Linked DNA regions of Kluyveromyces lactis. The protein of the gene in region 1 purifies or fractionates together with the protein of each later gene. This does not show direct contact. Links are inferred from orthologs where the notes say so. Each region holds a gene or a part of one and is shown in the gene's direction. Other genes may lie near its edges.

Region 1 (10,747 bases):
AAGAGAACTGACAGTCGTTACACCACCAACACTAATACTAATACTAATGCCAATGCTGTTAATGCTAAGGGTTCAGATAAATGGTTTGATCAAACCTCTGATAGTGAAGGTGAATATCGATCGGAAGTTCCGGTTGAACTAGCCGGTGATGATGAAGGCCAGACACTTAATAAAGTCTTTACCAACAAGGAGACCAACACTTTGGATCTTCCACCAGAGGGAGGATACGGTTGGGTGTGTTGTCTTTGTGTCACACTTGTTATGTTTTCCACTTGGGGTTGTAATTCGGCGTTTGGTGTGTTTCTAGCATTTTACTTGAACAATTCAAGCTTTCCAGGTGCTAGTAAATATGACTATGCATTAATTGCAGGTATGACTGTATTCTTTGGGCAAGGGTTACCTCCGTTTGTTCTCTTATTTATGAGAATCTTTGGTTTAAAAATTCCAATGTATTTCGGTATTGTGATTATGTGCTTGGGTTTCGTTTTAGCCAGTTATGCTGTGTCATTATGGCAACTATATTTGACTCAAGGTTTCCTTAGTGGCGTCGGCATTTCGTTTATTTTCGCTCCTGCCACTACCGTTTTGCCTGGGTGGTTTCTTAAAAAAAGATCATTTGCAATGGGTTTATCATTGATTGGAACAGGAGCAGGTGGTGTTGCATACTCTCTAGCGGTTAATAAAATGATAGAAAATACCGGTAATCAGAGATTTGCATTAAGAATCCTTGCTATCACTTGCAGCATAACTTGTGTAGTAGCAACCCTTTTGCTACGTCAGAGAGTTCCAATGAAGGCTACTGGGATCAGAAATTGGAAAGCAATCAAGCAACACTGTAATGATATGTTCTCGATGCACATATTCAAAAAATGGACAGTTCAATTAATTGCAATGTGGTTCATGTTTGCATTATTTGGATATACTTTAATGATATTTACTTTATCCTCATACGCTGTTGCTAACGGCTTGACTGCTCATCAAGGTTCCTCGCTAACGGCAATCTTGAACGGTGCCCAAAGTGTAGGTAGACCCTTAATTGGATACACAGGGGATAAAATCGGTAGAACGAATATTACTGTTATGCTAACGTTACTTTTAACAATTTTCATGTTCGGTTTTTGGATCCCTGCTGACAGTTATTCATCTTTAATCGGGTTTTCAATATGTGTCGGTCTATGTATTGGTGTAGCTAATGTTATGAACACCGTGCTAGTTGCTGACATCGTTGGACCGGTAGATTTTTTGCCCGCTTGGGGTTATGTTAACTTGGTGGGCTCTCCATTCATGCTTGTTGCTGAAGTTATTGCACAAGCGTTGACTGAACCCAACTCCAACGACCCATATCTCCACACTCAAATATTTGCGGGATGTTGTTTCGTTGCGGCATTACTCCTTATATTGGGATTGCGGGAGGTGACAGCAAAGATAAAGATAAAAGAAAGACAAACGATAAATTTGCAACGGTTAAAGGATTATGATGATTCAAACTTATCAGAAAAAGACAATAACATCTTGAGAGAAAGAGAGATCAAGTATGATTACTTACTTGGATCAGGCATCAAAAGCTACTTTGCAAGAATGTTTTATCCAATGCATGTATAAAACTCTTTCCACAGAGTCATCTATTCTTTTCTTCCGTCTATAAAAGTAGCATTAGTGAAGTATCTTACTTAGTTTATTTATTTCAGTATTTTCATCCCACTTCAAATCCTTGATATAAGCATTGCATTCATTATCAAAATCCTTCCATTGATCAACCAACTTCTTTGAAATTACATTGAATCTCATTATCGGGTCATGCAAATTTTGGTTAGGATCTAAGTTCATCTGAATGCAAATCTCATGAATGACGTTATTTAGCTCAGAGTAATTTAGCACAAACTCATAACTCATATCCATCAATAAAACCAAAGTAGTTGGATACAGCTGATGAGTGTATGTTCCAAGCGAAGCACCTGAACCTGAATATAAAATTGGATGATTCAAAATATTTGATAAGAATACAGAATGAGCTCTTTTTAGATCCTCAAGATCAAATGAAGAATAGCCGCTAACATCATCTGTCGTAAGTTCTTTGAAGTTTTCGATAAAATGAAGATCAGGTTTTAAAACACCGCTTGAGACTTTTACCCCATTTCTAAGCACTTTAACTTTAACCGAGGAGGTTGGATCGGTATCTTTATGATTTAGATTCGAAAGAAGCTTCCTAAATTCATGTTCAATAATACTCTCGAAACAATATGTTTCAACTTTTTTAGTGAAAGATTGAATCTGATTCTTTAAAACATTGATCATTGAAACTTTATTCAGTAAATCCCTAATAAATGGAACCCTGATGTTCAGCTTTCTAAAAAGTTTAAGAATGGATGAATTTTTTTGCCATTCTTGTTCATAATTGTACTCATTCTTTTTAATTCTCCATAAGAAGTTGAAAATTCTCAGATAATCTCTGCGGCTTCCGTGTTGGTTGATATCCATTACTGTTGAAAGAGGCTGATCCACGAGATAGTCTAATGTGAAAACATCCCAACCCGAAGATCCATGTGCTAATTCCAAAATTCTAGCATCAAGCCTATTCACCAAGAGATTGTTATCTGATTTGTTCAATCTATTTCTCAGAGATGATTGTTGAATTGCGATTTGTAGACACTTCGTTAAATGATGGCTTTCTAAAAGTTGAGAAGGTTGGTTGAAGAGATTTTCCGAGTTTTGAATAATAGAATCAATCACATCGCTTTTACCCATTAGAAGGATATCTTTTAAAAGGTTGAGAGTCTCGAAATAATAAAATTTCGATCGTAATGTGGTGTTGATATAGTGGTTAATTTCACCATATTGCTGGTTAACCAATTCGAAAAATTTGTGATCCATTGAAGGGCCTAATAGCCTATATTGCAATGAATACTTATTTGCAAATTTTCCAATCCATTCAACTTCGCTGCAGCAATGTTCGAGATATCGGAGGGACTTTCCAATAATGTATATTTTTTTGGCCACTAAAGACGGTATAAATTTTGGAATTTTCTGTGGCAAGAATACCAATCCCAATGGTTCTTTCTCGTCATTTTGAACAAAAAAGTCACTACTAACATTTGAATCCAGTTTTCCATCAATCAACCAATCGCATATGTTCTTCATGTAGGGTTGTAAAAGACGCTCTAACGCATCAGATGCAAATTTCTCGAGTACTGGATCACCATTACTTTTTTGTAACTGGCATACAGATAGTAATCCCTCTGCACTGCTTTTTTCAAAGTTTTCAATATATTCCATATATGTCCTTAGTTTTAGTACTTCAGGATAGAGGTGTTGATATGTAAAACATAATGGATCGAGTGGATGTAAGTGGGATGAGAAATTGTTGACGAAATTACTATAATCTCGAAGTTTACTTTGAATCAATGTCAAAAATGCTACTTTTAGTGTACTGGTGGTAACATGTTTTTTAAGATATTCCACTCTAATTTGAAGGTGCAAGTAAAGTAAGCCTGCTTCAACGATATCATGCAACTGTTGGCTTTCTCCGTTCGGAATATTGCTGGGTATTGTGAACTTCTTGTCTTTTAGTTCGAATAAAGTAGAGGGTGTTCCCAACACAAGATAGGGTATACTTTTAACGATATCGGCCCTCGATACCATTGTGCTGAAATATGGATCTGATAAGCTTTGTAATGTAGCATCAGATGAACTATGTTGCCAAGCATTTCCCCCATAGGACCCAATTGACCTTCTGTCCGATACCTTCTCAAAATTCTCAAAAGAATCCGCATAGACGCTTTCCGTTGTTTTCCTTTGTATATTTTCTATCACTTCTTTCGACATTGGTTCTCTCATATCATACAACTCATCGTTTTTGTCTAAAAGTGACAAACATTGCAGTAAATATTTATGTTTTTCTTCCGGACTTGAGAGATGGCACATGATGCCGGCAAACATTTCTAAATGAGACCAACTTTTCATGTCCTGATTGCGTTGCACCATTATTTTTTTATAATATTCCAATACTTTTGTGACATTTTCCTTTGATGATGTTTTGATAGAGTAGTAAAGGTCCTGAATTAATTGCTGAGAATACGCACTGCCAGCAGATGCAGGAAGCATGTGTAGTACACATGTGCCAAATTTTTGGTCCATTATTGTTTTTTCCGTTACCCCACAGTAGAGATAGGGGAAGAGGCTCTTTTTCACATCTTTTACCTTTCACTTTAGCGCACAAATCGTTCTTGTTTGTTGATATTTTCACAAAACAATATCGATCTACTGTTGTTGTATCCAATGATGTAAACATAAAGTGAAAAAGGTTGTGAAATAGTCACGTGATTGACTTTGGTGACCATCACAAGGATTGAAGGAAAGACATATGCAGACATACATGTATACATAATATATATATCAATACAGTACATGTATAATACATTTGTTTAACTTATTATTATGCCATATTTTTTAATAAGGAGCAGAGAGTAGTTCAGCCTCCCTTGAAAAGAAAGAGTTAGAGAATTTGTCATCGTACCCGCAATGTTCCATAGTTCTTTTATAGTGATAGAAATTGTAGAATTGCAGCATGGCCCGTAAAGCAATTTCTTGGCCATAGGAATCGTTGATCTCGCCCGTGATATCCTTCCCTGTTATCCAGTTATCTGTTAAATGAAGTTTCTCATGTAAGAACACTCCAGAAATCAATTCCATATGATCTGCCCTCCATCTTTTATTCTTGAATGGTGCCAATTCGTGAATTATCTTTAATATGGGGTGGTATATGTCCAGATTAAAGATAGAATACAATGCCTTGAATATGTTACTAACATTAAGTGGTAGGTCTTTTAGCCTTTGTGTCTTTTTCCCAGTTATTTTGGATAACACTCGTAATAGATACACCTCGGAATTGAGCATTCGGAGATTTAATCTGTTTGCTTTCTCATTTGCGGTTGATATCTCAAGAGTTTCTTTATATTGAACATTGTATAAAGAACATTCACTCCAAAAAGAATGGGTAGGTTGTAAATGTTTAGAGTAAATTCTGTTTTGATATTGATCAGTAAAAGATTGAAGGATGCCTACGCTTGTCGTAATGAACTTTGAATCGTAAATCAACGAGCAAAGATACTCAAATTTAAGAAAGTGGCTAACCTTAAACCATTTTAAAAGGAGGAAAAGTATGGCAGAACTCGATTCCATTGCAATTTCCTTTGATCTTATAAGTTCCAATTGTGGTTGAAGCTCATTAATTTCTTCTTCAGAAAAATCCTCTTCAAGGTATACTTTGTTTGACATACAAGTTTCAATAGTTTCTAATAGAACATATACTAGAGATGAAAAATGGGGTAAAGCATTAGCATAATAATCTTCGATGCGATTCATGGTTTCAGGTTCCTCATTCTGTATACCTCTATACGTGAATGGGTCCTTCTCATGTACCTCAGTGTTTGTCCATCCTCGTTCTTGCACCATAAATAATTCTCTTTCATGCCATAGTTGTTTAGTAGATAGTTTTATATGCACAGATTTTGACAAAATTTCGATTGCTTCTTGCATGTTATACGGTAACACTGTCTCAGGCACCGCAATACTCAGCTTATTACTAAGTTCGTCTACCACACCAGTATCATAGTCACCAGAGGATGGAAAAAATGCTGGATATGATAAATTGGCTTGAAATGACTTCCTCGTTTTCAATCCGTTGGGCGAGCTTGTGGGTGATGCCGGCTGTGATGGTGCAGGCGTTGCCATATGCACTTGTGGCTCTCCCAACGACATGTTAGAACTGCTCCTCGAACGGGGTCTCGGAATCTCTAAAAATTGTGAAAGAGAATTGGGGTTGTCAAGCATGCTAGGATATGTCGGTTCTGGAAGCTGAGAAGATGGAAATCTTGAGGTGATATCTTCCCTAAAAGCAACATATTCCAATGGAGATATTGAAAGATTCGAAGCAGAGGAGTCTTTCTTTTCAATTTTGTGATGTTGAAGAACAAATCTCTTCACTGCGTCATAATGGCTCTCTTCACCAAACTGTAATAGAAGCACTTTATGGAATAAAATAATGATATTTCTTATTCTCATTGAGAGTCGACTTTTCCAACGCCAATGGTCTATATATTTTGTAAGGAAAAGCATCAAGCCAGATGAATGTACGACATCAATAAAATCTTCTACAGCTTTGGTGTGCATGCTTCTTTGCTCAATAGCTATATTGATCATAAAATAAGTGATTGAACCCGAGTAGAACAAAAGAGTATTATATTGTTGCAAATTAGTGTTCTTCACCCTACAACAATCTGCATGTTTCTTAAAGCAAGGTAAGAGTACCTTTGAAATCATCATCAATAGAGTATTATTCCTCCGTAGAATGTCTAAATGATGGAAATAACTGTTCGTTTCCTGAAAAGTTCCGAAAGAAATATACGCCAGACAAAGCAAGGTATTGATATCCACTGAATTTACCTCTAGCTTTTTACCAAGCTCTGTAATAACTTGAATAGCGTATTTACGCTCTTCGATAAATTTCGAACTATCATAGTTTTTTTCAAAGCTCAACTTTGCAGTCTTTAAGCTCCCATAGTCCTTTTGTATGAACCATTCTGATAGTTCGTGAAATAATGAATTAAAATCGGAAGCCTGCCAATCTAACGTAGGCTTGGTAAATGAATGTGAAAGATCACCTCTTTCAATCTCGTCTGCTTTTTCTTGTAACAACTTCTTTAATGCATCGTCTACTGGTAAATTATTATCTTCTTCAACTTTGACATCCTCATATGTAATTATTTTATCTTTGTCATTCAATTCGGGTGAAACCTTCCTTAGTTGCTTCGGTGATGCTTGTCCGTTAGTATATGAATCATAACCTTGGAAATAATCTTTCAGGCTACCAGAACTAGAACTGGGGGAGATTGGTCCATCGATCTCATCGACATTTGCAAACTCTGAATCCTCATCATCTTCTTCCCCATTAGCATCATCCTGAGTATCAATAATCTCACTGCTATTGTTCGCTTCATTAGATTGTCTATCTGTGCCGTTGTTTTCATGCTGCAATTCATTTGAATCACCCAAATGTAATTTCTTGCTAAGTAAACTATCCAGATCATGGAATAAAGACGTATCCGAAGGGAAAGTCTGGTGTTCATTGGAGAGCTGTTTTGCAAATGGCGGTCTAGCCTGAGTCTTGCTCCTCAAATCTTTAGAAGACAAAGACTTCAATAGCGGAGATCTTGACCGCTGTGTCTCTGGCATTATCGCAATCCACAAATAATATTGGATTCCTTTCTATCTCTCAAATTGAATAATCGTTAATTCAATGTTGAAAAGAAAACAGCTCTTCAAGCCGCTATCAATAGAAAACCACGGGAGTAGTTCAGGCAATACCTCGCAATGTATTTGAACCACAAAAGTAACGTTTTCTAAAAAGTTTAAGTGTATAGTTGCAAACGTTCTTATTCTAACATGTCTGATTGAATGCGATGCTACTTTTTTTTGGATTTTGAGTAACTATTCAAATGCCTGAAAAATGTGATACACACAAATTAAAACTGAAAATCTGTAAGAAACAAATCGAATTTGACTCGTGATGTTCAATCGTGGAAGAGTGACCAGCAAGCTTTTCTGGCCGAAGCCGCTAGTTTATATTTGATTGCAAACTAAATGAGCATTTCTCTGGAGAATATTCTTGGCCTCAAAGTTAAAATTACTGATGTTTTAGACCATGTAACGCAAGGAAAAGTGTATTCATTCAACTCAAATAATGACACCATCACTTTGATTGTGGGCAAGAAAAATAAAGCATACACATTTGAGATCATTCAGACCTCATTTATCAAGCATCTGGAACTAGTAGGAGAGAAGGCTAATCCGTCTAGTTTCAAGAAAGATCATGTAAAACCGTCATACGTTGATCTCGATAGAGTGAAAAATGCATTGGCTAAGACAATAGACACAGCTGCTAAAAAGGAAATGTCAATTGGAAAAAATGTTTCCTATGAGGGTCAATTTATATTTGATCTCATTCATAAGACTATATCAGATATAGTATGGAAGGGAAAATCCATTGTCGTTCTTGATGAGCTGGAAATAAATCCGCCGTATCAGCTTGGTAGCATTAAACCATTGCAAGGCAGAACTGATGTCAAATCAAAAGAGTTGATAGATAAGATTGTTGAATCTGCATGGAATAAATTAGAGAACGAAAGAAAAGGCGGATGATGCCGGATGTCAATGTAAAAATATATAGTTTATTTATTTACAGATTAAAATTTAACTTATTTCGTTCGGAATTAAAACTGGATAGAATACACATCGCCTTAGATGATGCCCACTAGGAGCAATCTCTAGCTTGTCCTTCGATTAACGTCACTCCGAATTTCAAAGTAACATCCACCGGATAGAAATTGAATCGAATAATTTAAGACCTTTCCCAGAGGTTCCTTTAAACCCATCAAGTTCCTCCCATGGAATATAAAACTCAAATCGTTCATTCTTAGGTAAAATGTAGTTGGAGTCATTATCAAGGTTCTTTGACTGAAGCACAGATTCCCAATAAAGATTTAACCAGCAACTTGAAAAAGAGCTTAGGTGAGAGACGTTGTTTATAAATTGCGAGGTCTTTGAACGGATTCCAAATGATAAACGGATATCTGAGAAAGTTACGTTGATATTTGGAACTATTATTTGCTTTGAAGTTAACGACCTTAATGATCCCTTGCCTGTAGAACACTGCTTGGAGAATAAATCGATAAGACCCGATTTTCCACTTGAGTGACTTTGTATCTTAATGGATACTGTTGTATTATTGGCCTTTTTCAAGAATTCCGAGCTATATTGACCAATTGAATTTGTAAACTCGATTGACAAAATCTTGAATTCGATGGTAGAAAGGTTCTTTATTATTTCTTCTCGTTGTTTAGCTTCGTATCGGAGAAACATTTCTTGGTACTTGAGATAACGTAGTTGAGAAGCTATGGTAACTCCTTTACTGATGCCTGTCTTAAACCTAGTGCTCAGAAAAAGAGATTGTGCTTCATGACGGGGGAGCTGCAAGTATGTCATCAAATATGCGACTACCAGAGTGCCCGATCTCCCTTTGCCCATTTTACAGTGAATAACAGCTACTTTCCCCCTTGAGACAGTATCTCTTATATCGTCTATTAAGTTCTGAAGATGCAAAAAAGATGGTGGTGAATGATCAATCCATCCAGCTCTCAACAAGTGAGATTTCACAGAAATTGGTGGTTTTACTATTTCATCTGCATTAGATCTGAATAGTAATTTGATTCCGGAAACATTGCAATGGTCTTCGAGCATTTTTCTGGATCTAAAAGTGGAAGTAATTTTTTCACTCTTACCAGCTGGTGGGGTCACATGTTTTGATTCCAATACCATGGCAAAATCGTCATCAGTGTAGTCTGAATCATTCATTTCCGCCTTCAAATTGTAGATTTTCCAGTTCTTTCTGCCATGATTCGCATCCAAATACGTGACAAGATCAACGAGACTGTTGCGATAAAACATTTTGGGATACTTCATTACAGGATATGAGCAAACAATGATGTTGTCAGTAACATACGAAACATCCAAAACTAATCCCATATTATTCTTATATTGATTGAAAGGGGAGCTGTAGATTGATTTGATGATGTGCTCCGGATTAAATTTCGATAAAGTCATTTTGAATACTTTCAGTACAATTATACTTGGTGAAGATCTTAGTAACGTCAAAGCGATTGTCCAAAATTTGGCCGACTTTGAATTTATAGATGTAGACCAGTCTATTTAATACTGGTGGTGGGGAAGTTGTAAATGAGTTTGAATTGCTAGTTTTCTTAAATGCAACATTTGTGTCACTTCAGAAAGTACTTGACAACAGTGCGACAAAAAAAAAATAAGAAAAAAAAAAAACAGGAAAGACAAGTATCAGGTAGAATAGTTATATTATTCCAGTAATGAACTCGCATTTAATGTTTCAACGATGTGATCAGCAATTGCGTTTAGCGCATCTGATATGTTGATATCATCATCATTTTTCAGTTCGAAGAGCCCTGTATTCCGTTTAAGCTGTCCTTCAATGTCTTCATCTTCGAACATATACTTATGTTCGTTCCTGTAAGATTTGTAAACAAATTCATCAAAGTAGTATGGTGGATCAACCCAATATGAATCTATAGTCTTGTATCCAGCTCTTGCATTTCTTCTCTTTTTCAAAACTTCGTATGGAGCTCGAACAAATATTTTGATGTCAAACTTCTTTGTTAGCTCTTCATCGTTAAATATCATGAACCCATCAACCAATACAATCTTAAGATCAGAATTTTGCACGATAGCATATTTCCTCTTAAGAGAATCCCAATCTTCTGGTGATATATCAAACTTTGTTATGTCATCAACGTTATCGTTATGAATCAATTTACTTTTGATTAAGCCAGTTTCTTTTATTTGATCCAACTCTCTTTTAAATGCAGGTATATCCAATGCCTCTGGACAGTCCCAGTCGGCAATCTGATATTTTTCGTTTAGTGGAATTTGCGCATCAGGCTTATAGAAGTCATCTTCGTGTAATACACTACTTCTAGGGATTGCATTCGATGTTAGCTTGGTTAAGGTGGTCTTACCCGATGATGAACATCCACTTATCGCGATGAGAACCAATTTAGAGCTAGTCATTCTTTTCTCCTAAAATAGTGGGTTTAAGTTGATACCGCTTACTTCGTACGATGTAGGGAATAAGGAAGTAAATATGTCCCAAGGAGCTACCTCAATT
Region 2 (10,421 bases), on another chromosome or scaffold:
GCAGTAGAAGTACAAACAATAATCAAGAACAAAAACACGGATTGTATATCGTCTTTAAACAAACTCGAACACAGAAGCGAAAAGACTAATCCTGACAGTGCATACTGAGATATGGGGAACGCTCCTGCAGCACCTCTATGGTTAGGAAAATTTGCAGTACAACATTTCATAGCTGCATAAAAAGAGCAAATGGAACCAAACCCAATCATCACCAAAGCTACGAAGATCAAAAAAACGCTGCTATATTCATAAGTGTAACAAAAGTAAAGAGTAGAATATGCAAAAAATGTAAGAAAGGCCCCAATTCCGGTGGCCAAACTGGGCGAATGGTCTATTATCATTCCTGCGAAAACACCCATCGCACTCATCCCTAAAGACATGGCAAAGGAGAAATCACTAGATCTTTCAATGTCAAGATGGCATTTTTTGAGCAACTGTGGTGCATAGAAACTGTACATATACGGTGTACCAGACCCCAAAGCTACCACATTTGCACCAATAAATATTGAAGCCAATTGGTACTTGGAAGCAGGAGTCATCTTTAATTAATTATTACTGCCACCAATGTGAAAGTTTGACCAATCTTAATCTTCTGCACTTTACCAGCTCTGTAGTTAACAGTTCTGTAGCGGTACCCACAAAAGTGATTCACTTCTGTGTACCTCACGATCTTAAATTGAAGAGCCCAAAATATCAAGGACATGGTTGCTTAAATATGTAGATGCTGCCAACTCTCTGATTTTGACATTTTTCGAATCTCGAGACAATTCGCAGGTCACCATAATTGATAACGAACTAACGCAAGGAAAAACATGGGGTTGACCGAGTACAAGAGGAAGATTTTAGCAGTATTATGACGCTGAGTGGCCTCTCCTGGTGATAGTCATTTTGCGGACACAGGAGTTGATGTTTCTCTATGTTGAACCTGTCTGTTTTTACGAATAATAGATCATGTGACTTATGTAATTGTTGCGAAGCAACCATATGTAGGAAACCGGTGAACAACGTCTATGCAATACGGCATGATTGAGACCATTCTGGACGAAAGTTACTTCACATTTATCATGTAACATGTCTTGGAAGTGCTAATATTGCTTGTTATGTTTTTTTTGCTCCATTTCCTATGTCTCTTTGCTAAGTTCCCATGGCCAGACATCGATTTTTTTAAGAAATTGTTTCTAGAACTCAAATCACATTTCAATTATATATATTTGGGACTTTCACGGCGAACAAGTTTCTCAGATCAAGAAGGTATAAAAGACCGTAAAGACCTGTGGCCAGTATTGAACTACGTGGCATAGAAAGTGTTTCTTCATACTACTACAACATAACGGTAACTGACGAGTAGTAAGCGTGTGTGTGGCATTATCATTGAATCATTTAGGGTCCAGAGATTCAAATCAGCATTTGAAAAATAAACAATATACATAGAATGAGACTACTGGTATTACTGCTGTTGTACGTCTGTAAAGTTCTAGCTGATGTTTCTGTCACGGTTCCAAAACCAGGTTCTTCTTACGCTGCTTCTGGTGGTGAAGTCGAAATTGAAATCCAATGGACTGACGACGAGACGACCCCACTGTTAGATGAGATCATCGAGTACAAATTCGTCTTATGTACTGGTTCGGATTCTAATATCGTACCTGTTGACACTTTGGGTCCATTCAAGCCTTCCGAGGTGAGTGATTACAAGTACCAAGCCAGTTTCCCAGCCACCACGGCCCCAGACGGGACATATTTCATTCAGATCTACGCCGCGTATAAGGAAGGATACACGATTCATTACAGTGGTCGTATGAAATTGTCAGGTATGGACGGTACCTTGAGTGTCAGTGCAGAATCTGTGACTGACACTGATGGTCCTCCAAAGCAGATATCTCTTGATGCGGCTTCAGTAGATACAAGATCTTTCACTATTCCATATACCAAACAAACGGGTATTTCCAGATTTGCTCCAATGCAACAACAACCGGGTTCTACTGTAACTTTGGAGACTTGGTCAAGAAGATACGCGACAAGTGCGGTGTCTTACTTCCCTTCGCTGATCAATTCTTTGCAGCAAAAAACCACCATCACCCCAGGTTGGTCATACACAAGACCTTCAGATTACAACTATGCAACCCCTGCACCATTCCCCACCGAGAATGGTGGATGGTACGATCCTAAAGACAGACAGACTATGAGTGTTAGGAAATTGAATGTGAAGAGAGCTATTTGAATGATAAGAATCGATACAAGTGACAATTTCCATTCTAGTCTTTAAACAAAAAACATTTATGGGTAAACTTTATATTTTTCTTCTTAAAAACTTAATATATGTCATTATTTATCATATATAAGTGTGTGTATTTATTATTTCGTTAAACCTCTTTTCTTGGAGATTCCATTGGTATCCATCCTCTTACAATTTACTGGCAAAGAGTTCGATTGACACCGGAAAAAAGAGCTTTAGAATAACAATATGAGAATAGCCCGGACTGCCTTAAGCAGTTTCTGTGGCACTTTCTTCCGATTTCTTCTCAGTTGGAGCATTGGCATCTCCTTCACTGAGCTTTGATTCAGAACTGGCTTCAGGAGTTTCGTCATTAGTCTTTGGGATGTTCTTCCTGTAACCAGTTAATGATCTTGTCTTTTGACCAGAACCACCGAAATTCTTTGATCTAGTTGCATTCTTGGCGAGGCTGTATTGCTTCTTAGTGACAACTTCCAATGGTTGTCCCTGATATGAGAAATCGGTCTTGTGTTCCTCAAAGAATTTGACACATTCCTCCTTCGTCTTGAATTCGACTTCGACAACACCGTTGAAGTATTTCTTATGGTCCTTCTTCAAACGAACTTGGTTAACAGTGGTGAACCCATTGAAGAACTTCTCTAGTTCTTCTTGTAATTCTAGGAATTTATCTTTATCTTCATTTTCGATCTTCTTAAAGTTCATAAACACTAACACTCTTTCGTTCCTGTCCTTAAAATCAACTGTCTCTAATGGACTCTTTCTACGCACATTTTCACCATCAGCGCTAACCTCTAGAATCGTCGAGTCCTTTAAACAATCAACAACTTTGTCGACAGGTCTATACTTTTTCATTCTGTTGAAAGACGCAAGTGTCGTAATTGGAATCCATCCGTCATTCTGTTCGCATAGAGAGCGTAAAAATTTATCGTAGGGCAAATTATATTCACTGAAGTAGAATTCCACTTGTTTGCGGCAAGCCTGAGACACCTCAGGAGTGAAATCGATTGGGGCATAAGACCCACGACGACGGATCTCTTGGGAAAATGACATTGTTTCCAGTATAACTTGTTATGAGAAGTGCGATTCGATTCTTTACGGCTATGATCCAAACAATCCAATAGACAGCTAGATAAATGACCACAAACAATAGGGAAAAAGCCTTAAACTTTAACCCAGTTCTGAAAGGAAATGGAAGCTACAATGCACAAAGACAAGGATGTTAACAGTATCGATTAGAACCTGTATCATAACTTCAATTGGAATGTCATTTCGTAATTCTTTAACGTTTTTCCATGTTCAAAAATGCATGAAAAAAAAAAAAAATTGTTTGGTGTAGACAGAACCATGTCCTTTTGCCATGCAGAGATGAGAAGATCACATAGTAGGGCAACACGGTTTCTAGCACAGCGTTTTGTAGAGCTTATAGGATAATGTCGGATTCATTGAAATAGGGTAACAGACGGTCACCACTTGCACATTTTGTTGATTGATGTTTAAACGTGCTTTCTATACCACCATGGAACGATAAGGGCAAACTTGTAGAGATAACGACAGAACCGAAAGTCTGTTGTACGAGTCTAATTGATCTGTTGAGCAACTTGGCGTCGAATTTGGGGTCCATGGATAAGTGCGACAAATTATCAATGAGGACCCATGCCAACTGCTTCGATGTAGACGTTTCCGAATTCTGCGGTTGGCATCTAGACAATGCGGTCACGGGATCTGTACATAATTGAGACATAAATTGAATAAAGGAATCGAACTGAAGCATGGAAAGATTAGTCTGTTGGAATTCCGGGTATGTTTCGAGCAAGTCATTGTCGTTGTGGTCGTTCCGGGGCATCGAAGAAATGTTCAAGATTAGTCCGTTCCCCTCACATTGTTCGCGCACTGTGTTCACTATGGTTCTTGTTTTACCGTTTCCTCGCAGAGATTCCTGTACGACGTGAATCCTGGTACATTTCTTACCGTTGACTTCGCATGTATACTGGTATGGACTTGTAAATTGGTCCAAAGAGTACACTTTGCACCTTGACACAACGTTCATTTAATTTTCGCTACGTCGTTTGCTACTTGAACACAGATTTCAAATGCCCTCAATTGTTATCCAGGTGCTCTGTTCCTTTATTTGATGGTGATGATTTCACTAAATACATGGATCATATCCAGGATTATTTAGTTTGCAAATTCACAGTTCTAACTGGATCTGTCTGGTTTTAACAGATAATTGATTGCTGCCGATTCCGCTATCACGAAACTTTCTGGGTATGTTCGTTCCAACTGTTGTTACAATGTTGAGTTTCATCTCGTTCTCGTTCTTTTTTTTAAAAAATCTCACAAGATTGAAATAGTTTCTCGAATAATAATACCAACAAAAAACAGTCGAAAAATCATTGCATAAGGTACCAATAGTACACTCAGTTATTTGTTGATTCTATTACTGTGTGAGCAGTGGGAAACATTAAACAAAATCCATTTAATTCAGCTATGGGTTTTTTCAGCAAAATAGTTTTCTGGGGGAAGTCTGTCATTGCAGTTACACTTTTATCATCGTGTGCATTGTATGGTGTGCTTGCATCGATTGTATTTTCATTAATTGGTAAAAAGCATTTGGCGCAATGGAGTACTGCTCGCTGTTTCTATGGAGTGATGGGTTTCATCATGGGTATTAAGATTAATTTGATCAATGGTGAAAGATTGAACGATTTGCCAGCTATTTTTATCTCGAACCATCAATCTGAATTGGATATCCTAATGCTGGGTAGAACTTTCCCACCTGGATGCACAGTTACTGCTAAGAAACAGATAAAGTGGGTTCCCTTACTGGGTTGGTTTATGAGTCTTAGCGGTACTTTGTTCTTGGATAGATCTAGCAGAGAAAAGGCCATCAAGGTCTTAAATGACTCTTTGGCCAACCTAAAGAAGGATAAAAGGGCCCTCTGGATTTTCCCTGAGGGAACTAGATCTTATTCTACAAAGCTAGAACTATCAGCATTTAAGAAAGGTGCTTTCCATTTGGCGCAACAGGGGAAAATACAGATAATCCCTGTTGTTGTATCAAACACTAGTTCCATCTATCACCCCAGGTCTGGAGTCTTTAACAGGGGTACCATAACAGTCAAGGTTCTTGAGCCAATTAGCACGGAAAATTTGAAGAAAGAAGACGTAGGTGATCTATGTAACCGTGTTCACAAGTTGATGAACGACGAGCTGAAAAATATTGGATACTCCGAAGCCATCGTGGATACCGTTTTACCTGCAGATGTGATCGCGTATAACTCTGCCAGACGTTTTGAAGATCAGCATCGTTTGACTGCAGATGATTACGAAGAGGAAATAGTTGACCTGGACCGTTCTTCTATTCACTCTAATGGGACTGTTGTGACCAATCCAGAACCCACTGAACGTAGTAGTTTACTCAAAGAAGTTATTTAGAGAATATAAATAAGAGATTCTTACTTTTTATATTTAACAGTACTTTCTATAATACAAGAGAATGTATGATAAATGTAAATACTGGAATCGTGAAATAGTTATTCAAGGTCGGTTATTAATTTATTTTTAATGTGGTATTTCATGAATTATTATGTTACTTAATTTTCTTCTGTTGATGGGAGGTTCGTATACGTATTTACAACTTACCGATATGCTTTAAATATTTATCAACGTCTCCAGAGCTACCTAACCAGATACTGCTTTTGTCGTGAATATGTTGAGGGACCAAATCCAAGATACGTTCACCTCTATCATTAACGGCTTTACCACCAGCTTGTTCAACAAGGAAAGCCATTGGGAATGCTTCATATAACAATCTTAACTTCCCGTTAGGATTTTTCTTATCACCTGGGTAAGAGAATAAACCACCATATAGTAAAGTTCTGTGTACGTCAGCGACCATTGAACCGATGTAACGAGCAGAGTAAGGCTTACCGTTATTTTCTTCGCTGTTTTCCTTCAACTTGGCAATGAAATCAGCGATAGTTGGTTCCCAATAGCAGGTGTTCCCCTCATTGATGGAGTAAATAGATTTTTGCTCAGGTAGTCTCAATTCTGGGTAAGTCAAGATAAATTCACCCAAGTTATTGTCCAAAGTGAACCCATTGACACCTGCACCGGTAGTTAAAACCAAATGCGTGGACGCACCGTACATAGTGTAACAAGCAGCAACCATTTCTCTACCGCAACGAGCAACATCGTTGATGGTACCCTCACTATCTTCTTCCCCAGAGTTACCATTCTGATTCTCATGAATCTTGAACAGAGAGACAATGGTACCCACTGAGACACCAGCATCCAAGTTAGACGAACCATCAATTGGGTCACAACATACCGCGTATTTACCAGGGCTGTTACGGAAAACGATCAAATCTTCTTGTTCTTCAGACACAAGTACCTTGACGTTACCAGACGCTTTCATAGCATTGATGAAGATTTCATCACCCAACACATCCAACTTCTTTTGCTGGTCACCGGTACTATTTGAAGCACCAGCCAATCCGATCAAGTTAACCAATTCAGCACGTCTAATTGTTTGAGAAATAAATTTAAATGCAAACTGCAAAGAGTTCAAAAGCATAGAAAACTCCCCAGTGGCATTTTTCGCAGAAAGATGCTGTTGGTCCAAGATAAAACGGGACAACGTGATGATGTCGGTATTGATAGACTCAGCTGAGTCTCTTCTGTGTTTAATACCAGCCATTTATTAATTATTTAATCGGGATATGCGAAGCTTCGGAAGGGAAATGAATTGAATAGTCTTCTTTCTACTTGATTATGCCTTTAATTTGAAACTAATGCTCGAATCCAATAATAAGTCATAAAGTGCTGAAGAGGATCGAAATCATAAAACTGGTTTGAATCCAATTTATATACACTAAAATAAGGATCAAACAGACAATATACACGACTTACATCCATACGCAAGTAGCGGACAACGCAACGGATTAATTCGGAAAATTCTACCCCCGAAGAAACCAACGAAGCCAGTTCATTACTCTGTCTGATATCGATTATCTGGTCTCTGAATTTCTTCTAGCTTTGAAAAATCGCAAGAACCGCACCATTTCTGGCGCGAAGGAAACAAAAGAAAAACAGAATGAGAAAAGCTCGCTATGGACGCAGTATGGCACGTAGTGTGCTAAGGCATTTCCTAGTCACTTGAAACAGAACATGATTTGCAAGTACTATTTGATTATGTGTTTTCTGTAGCGATTTAAGGTGATTTTGCTCATAACACTGAGAGGGAAAATAAAAAAAAAGGTTTTATTGATCTTCAAATTAAATGAATCTGGGGTCATATATCGTGATGTGTGGGTTCATTGGAGCTCCGGGAACATGTTTTCGTCTTTGGTTTTCCAATTTCTGCCAGTGCTGTATCGGTAGTGGGGGGGAACCAGAGGGGCGACCGGGAGAATTTATGTATGTGTGGTTGATGGGTGTTTGACAAGTAGATTTAAATACCGTGATATTACCCGGATATCTCGTGAAAAGTAACTGAGATCCGTCCAAAAATTCGGGTCACGTGTTCTGGTCTACTGCAATAAGAAAATCTAACATGAAGAAGCGATTTCGGCATATTCCTTTGATCAGTTGTAACAATCGTCAAGGTAGAGCGGAAGTAAGCTCCATCAAATCGTTCCTTGTGTACACGATTGTATTTCCATAGGATCTCTCTTTCGCCGTCTGGTAACGTACTTTTCCGTTGGGAATAAATAGAATTATCCATCCGGTTTTCCTATACACTGCTTAACAATGGCTAATGCTTGGCAAAGTAAGAAACTTGGTGCTTGGGGAAGTGAAAGCTCTGCGTTGAAAAAAAAAAGTATGGCATATACGACCGCTTCTCCCACTTCTGCTTCAGCCATTCCTACTCCAGTAACAAGTGAAAATACCAGTAGAAGTAGTATCTCTTCGCAGGACTCACGCAGTAACAAGAAAAAAAATAACAACAGCAATGGGCAGAATTCCCAAACGAACCAAGCATCATATGTTCATTCTAAACCACCGTTCAACCACGATGAAGTGAAACAGTTCCTGATATCACAATTCGAACAGTACTCTAGGTCATCTGTGACCCTGACTACGGATGATTCTACAGATTGGAATACTTCTCAGTCGAAAACATGGAAATCAAAAAAATATGGGTGTTTGTCCGAACTTGAGCGCGTTCTAAGATAAATTTTGCATGGCAGTAAAAAGCTCCTTCCCTCATCTACATGTGAACGTCCTTACAGTGTATATGTATATAAAAACACACTTCATTCACAACTTTTACTGGTAATGACGGTTTTCTCTACCAAAATTTCAAAAAGTTAAAAAAGAAAGCTAGAACACTTATAGGACGATGTAATACACGTAATTTTTGATCTACTTGATAATGAAAAGGTCTCGGAATCCACCTGGTAACCCATCTTTGCATGCCAAAAAACACAAGCAAGGGCGTCAGGGCTAGAAAAATTCCGTTCATATGAGATTATCAAATATCGAGCATTGGCTCACCTATCATATTCGAACATGGCTTTCAAATTCATTCGAATGGTCCACCATTCATAATTCAACATTCATTATATCTTTATTCTCATCCATTTCTGCTGGGCTTTTTTCTATGATTTCGGTATATGCAGTACCGTGGGAATTAAGGTTAGGATACTCTTCACTTGACGTTAATTTACTTTATGCTGCAGGGAATTTAGGAGCTTATTTGACTCCTCCATTATTAGGTATATTATCCGATTCTCACGGCCCTGTGATATTAAGTTGGCTTTCCTTCATTGGTTTCGTTCCCAGCTATTTATACCTATCTTGTGTTTTCCAGTTGGGATCCGATCCATGTTTTGCCCTCTCCGTAGTGGCATTTGCAATTGTTGGAATCGCTACCAGTTCGCTGTACTTTTGCGCTTTAATTACTTGTGCAAAGCTGTACCCCGATACAAAACTATTGTCAATCAGTTTCCCCACGACATGTTTTGGATTATCCTCCGTAATTGGGTTGCAGGTAATTAAATTACCATGGTTCCATTCTAAAGAGGACGGTTACCTAGATCTTGCTGTTGTCTTTAAATCGTTCGCTGTCTTCTACACGTTTGTATTTTTGTTGACATGGATTTCCACTAGTACGATTTCTATCATTAAGCTTCGTGGTTCTCAATCTCCATCAGCATCGCATGCATCAGCAAGAGCGGATGCTATTGTACTTGAAGATGAAACCACGCTATTACTTGCTAGTGGAAATAAAGGCGAGTTTTATAAGAGGATCAGAAACTTTTTCCAAGATTATATTGCATACGCATTCCTGATAGTAATGCTCCTCAGTATGGGGGTCATGGAAATGTTCAACACAAACATGGTAAACCTGACAAGCTTGATACTTGGGCCTGGATCCTCTTTCAACGTTTTGACGCAGTTTGCCCTTTTCTCTACAAGTTCACGACTATTGTCTGGTTTATTTATTGATCTGTTCACCAAATGGAACTGGCCAAGGATTCCTCTCATTATATTGATGCTCTTATCTGCAATCCTTGCTCAGGTAATCATTATTCATGCGATGAACGTGGTGAACATATCTTACATCGCAATTGCAAGTGCAATCTCGGGTTTCACATACGGTGGGCTTTTCACCATATTCCCAGCATTAACTCTTAATCTCTGGGGAGATGAGGTCTTTGGTACCGCTTACGGTACGTTCATGTTGGGACCTGCATTTGGATCTTCATTTTTTGGCGTCATGTATGCTCAAGTACACGATTCCAATTGCAAATCGGTCATTCCAGCCGCCACAGCCGACCCTGTCACTTCTTCTCCCAACTGCATTGTGCCTGCATTTACCGCCTCCACTATTGCACTAGTAGTGGCTCTCACAATTACTATAATAGCGACGGTAAAATCTAAAAGACTTAGAAGTGCCTAAATACTACCAATTCCCTTCATAATTTAATGTATACACGAACATAGATAGGACGTATGGTACTGGAATATCTGACTTTGAGTCAAGTGGAACCATTGTCCTTATTGAATCATTTGATACGAGTTTCTTATTTTGCCCATTTTTTATTGCCAGATAATTTCACCTTTTCTTCAGTACGTGTTCAGTTCAGTCCAAAAGAAAGACTTCAAAACGCTAAACAGAACAAAGCTACCTTTCAACTTATAAGATTAACAGACTCTTACAAGAAGTCATTGTTTGTATTAA

What was found.
Region 2: the proteins of LSM12 (region 1) and PBP4 purify together in Saccharomyces cerevisiae (affinity purification with mass spectrometry; 4 studies listed by BioGRID). This does not show direct contact. The link is inferred for Kluyveromyces lactis from reciprocal best matches to the Saccharomyces cerevisiae genes LSM12 and PBP4.

The regions. Positions count from the first base shown.
Region 1 is NC_006042.1:2,257,364-2,268,110, forward strand, and holds LSM12 (Lsm12p), read left to right. Parts: upstream 1-7,638; coding exon 7,639-8,196; downstream 8,197-10,747. Other genes in the region: ESBP6 (Esbp6p), read left to right, coding at 1-1,602; SPC98 (Spc98p), read right to left, coding at 1,654-4,134; FAR11 (Far11p), read right to left, coding at 4,447-7,230; TEP1 (putative phosphatidylinositol-3,4,5-trisphosphate 3-phosphatase), read right to left, coding at 8,356-9,657; NRK1 (ribosylnicotinamide kinase), read right to left, coding at 9,922-10,650.
Region 2 is NC_006041.1:122,791-133,211, reverse strand, and holds PBP4 (Pbp4p), read left to right. Parts: upstream 1-7,984; coding exon 7,985-8,410; downstream 8,411-10,421. Other genes in the region: KLLA0_E01321g (uncharacterized protein), read right to left, coding at 1-539; KNH1 (Knh1p), read left to right, coding at 1,433-2,218; tRNA maturation protein LHP1, read right to left, coding at 2,483-3,283; PSY3 (Psy3p), read right to left, coding at 3,654-4,280; 1-acylglycerol-3-phosphate O-acyltransferase SLC1, read left to right, coding at 4,721-5,668; FBP1 (fructose 1,6-bisphosphate 1-phosphatase), read right to left, coding at 5,865-6,932; MCH1 (Mch1p), read left to right, coding at 8,700-10,139.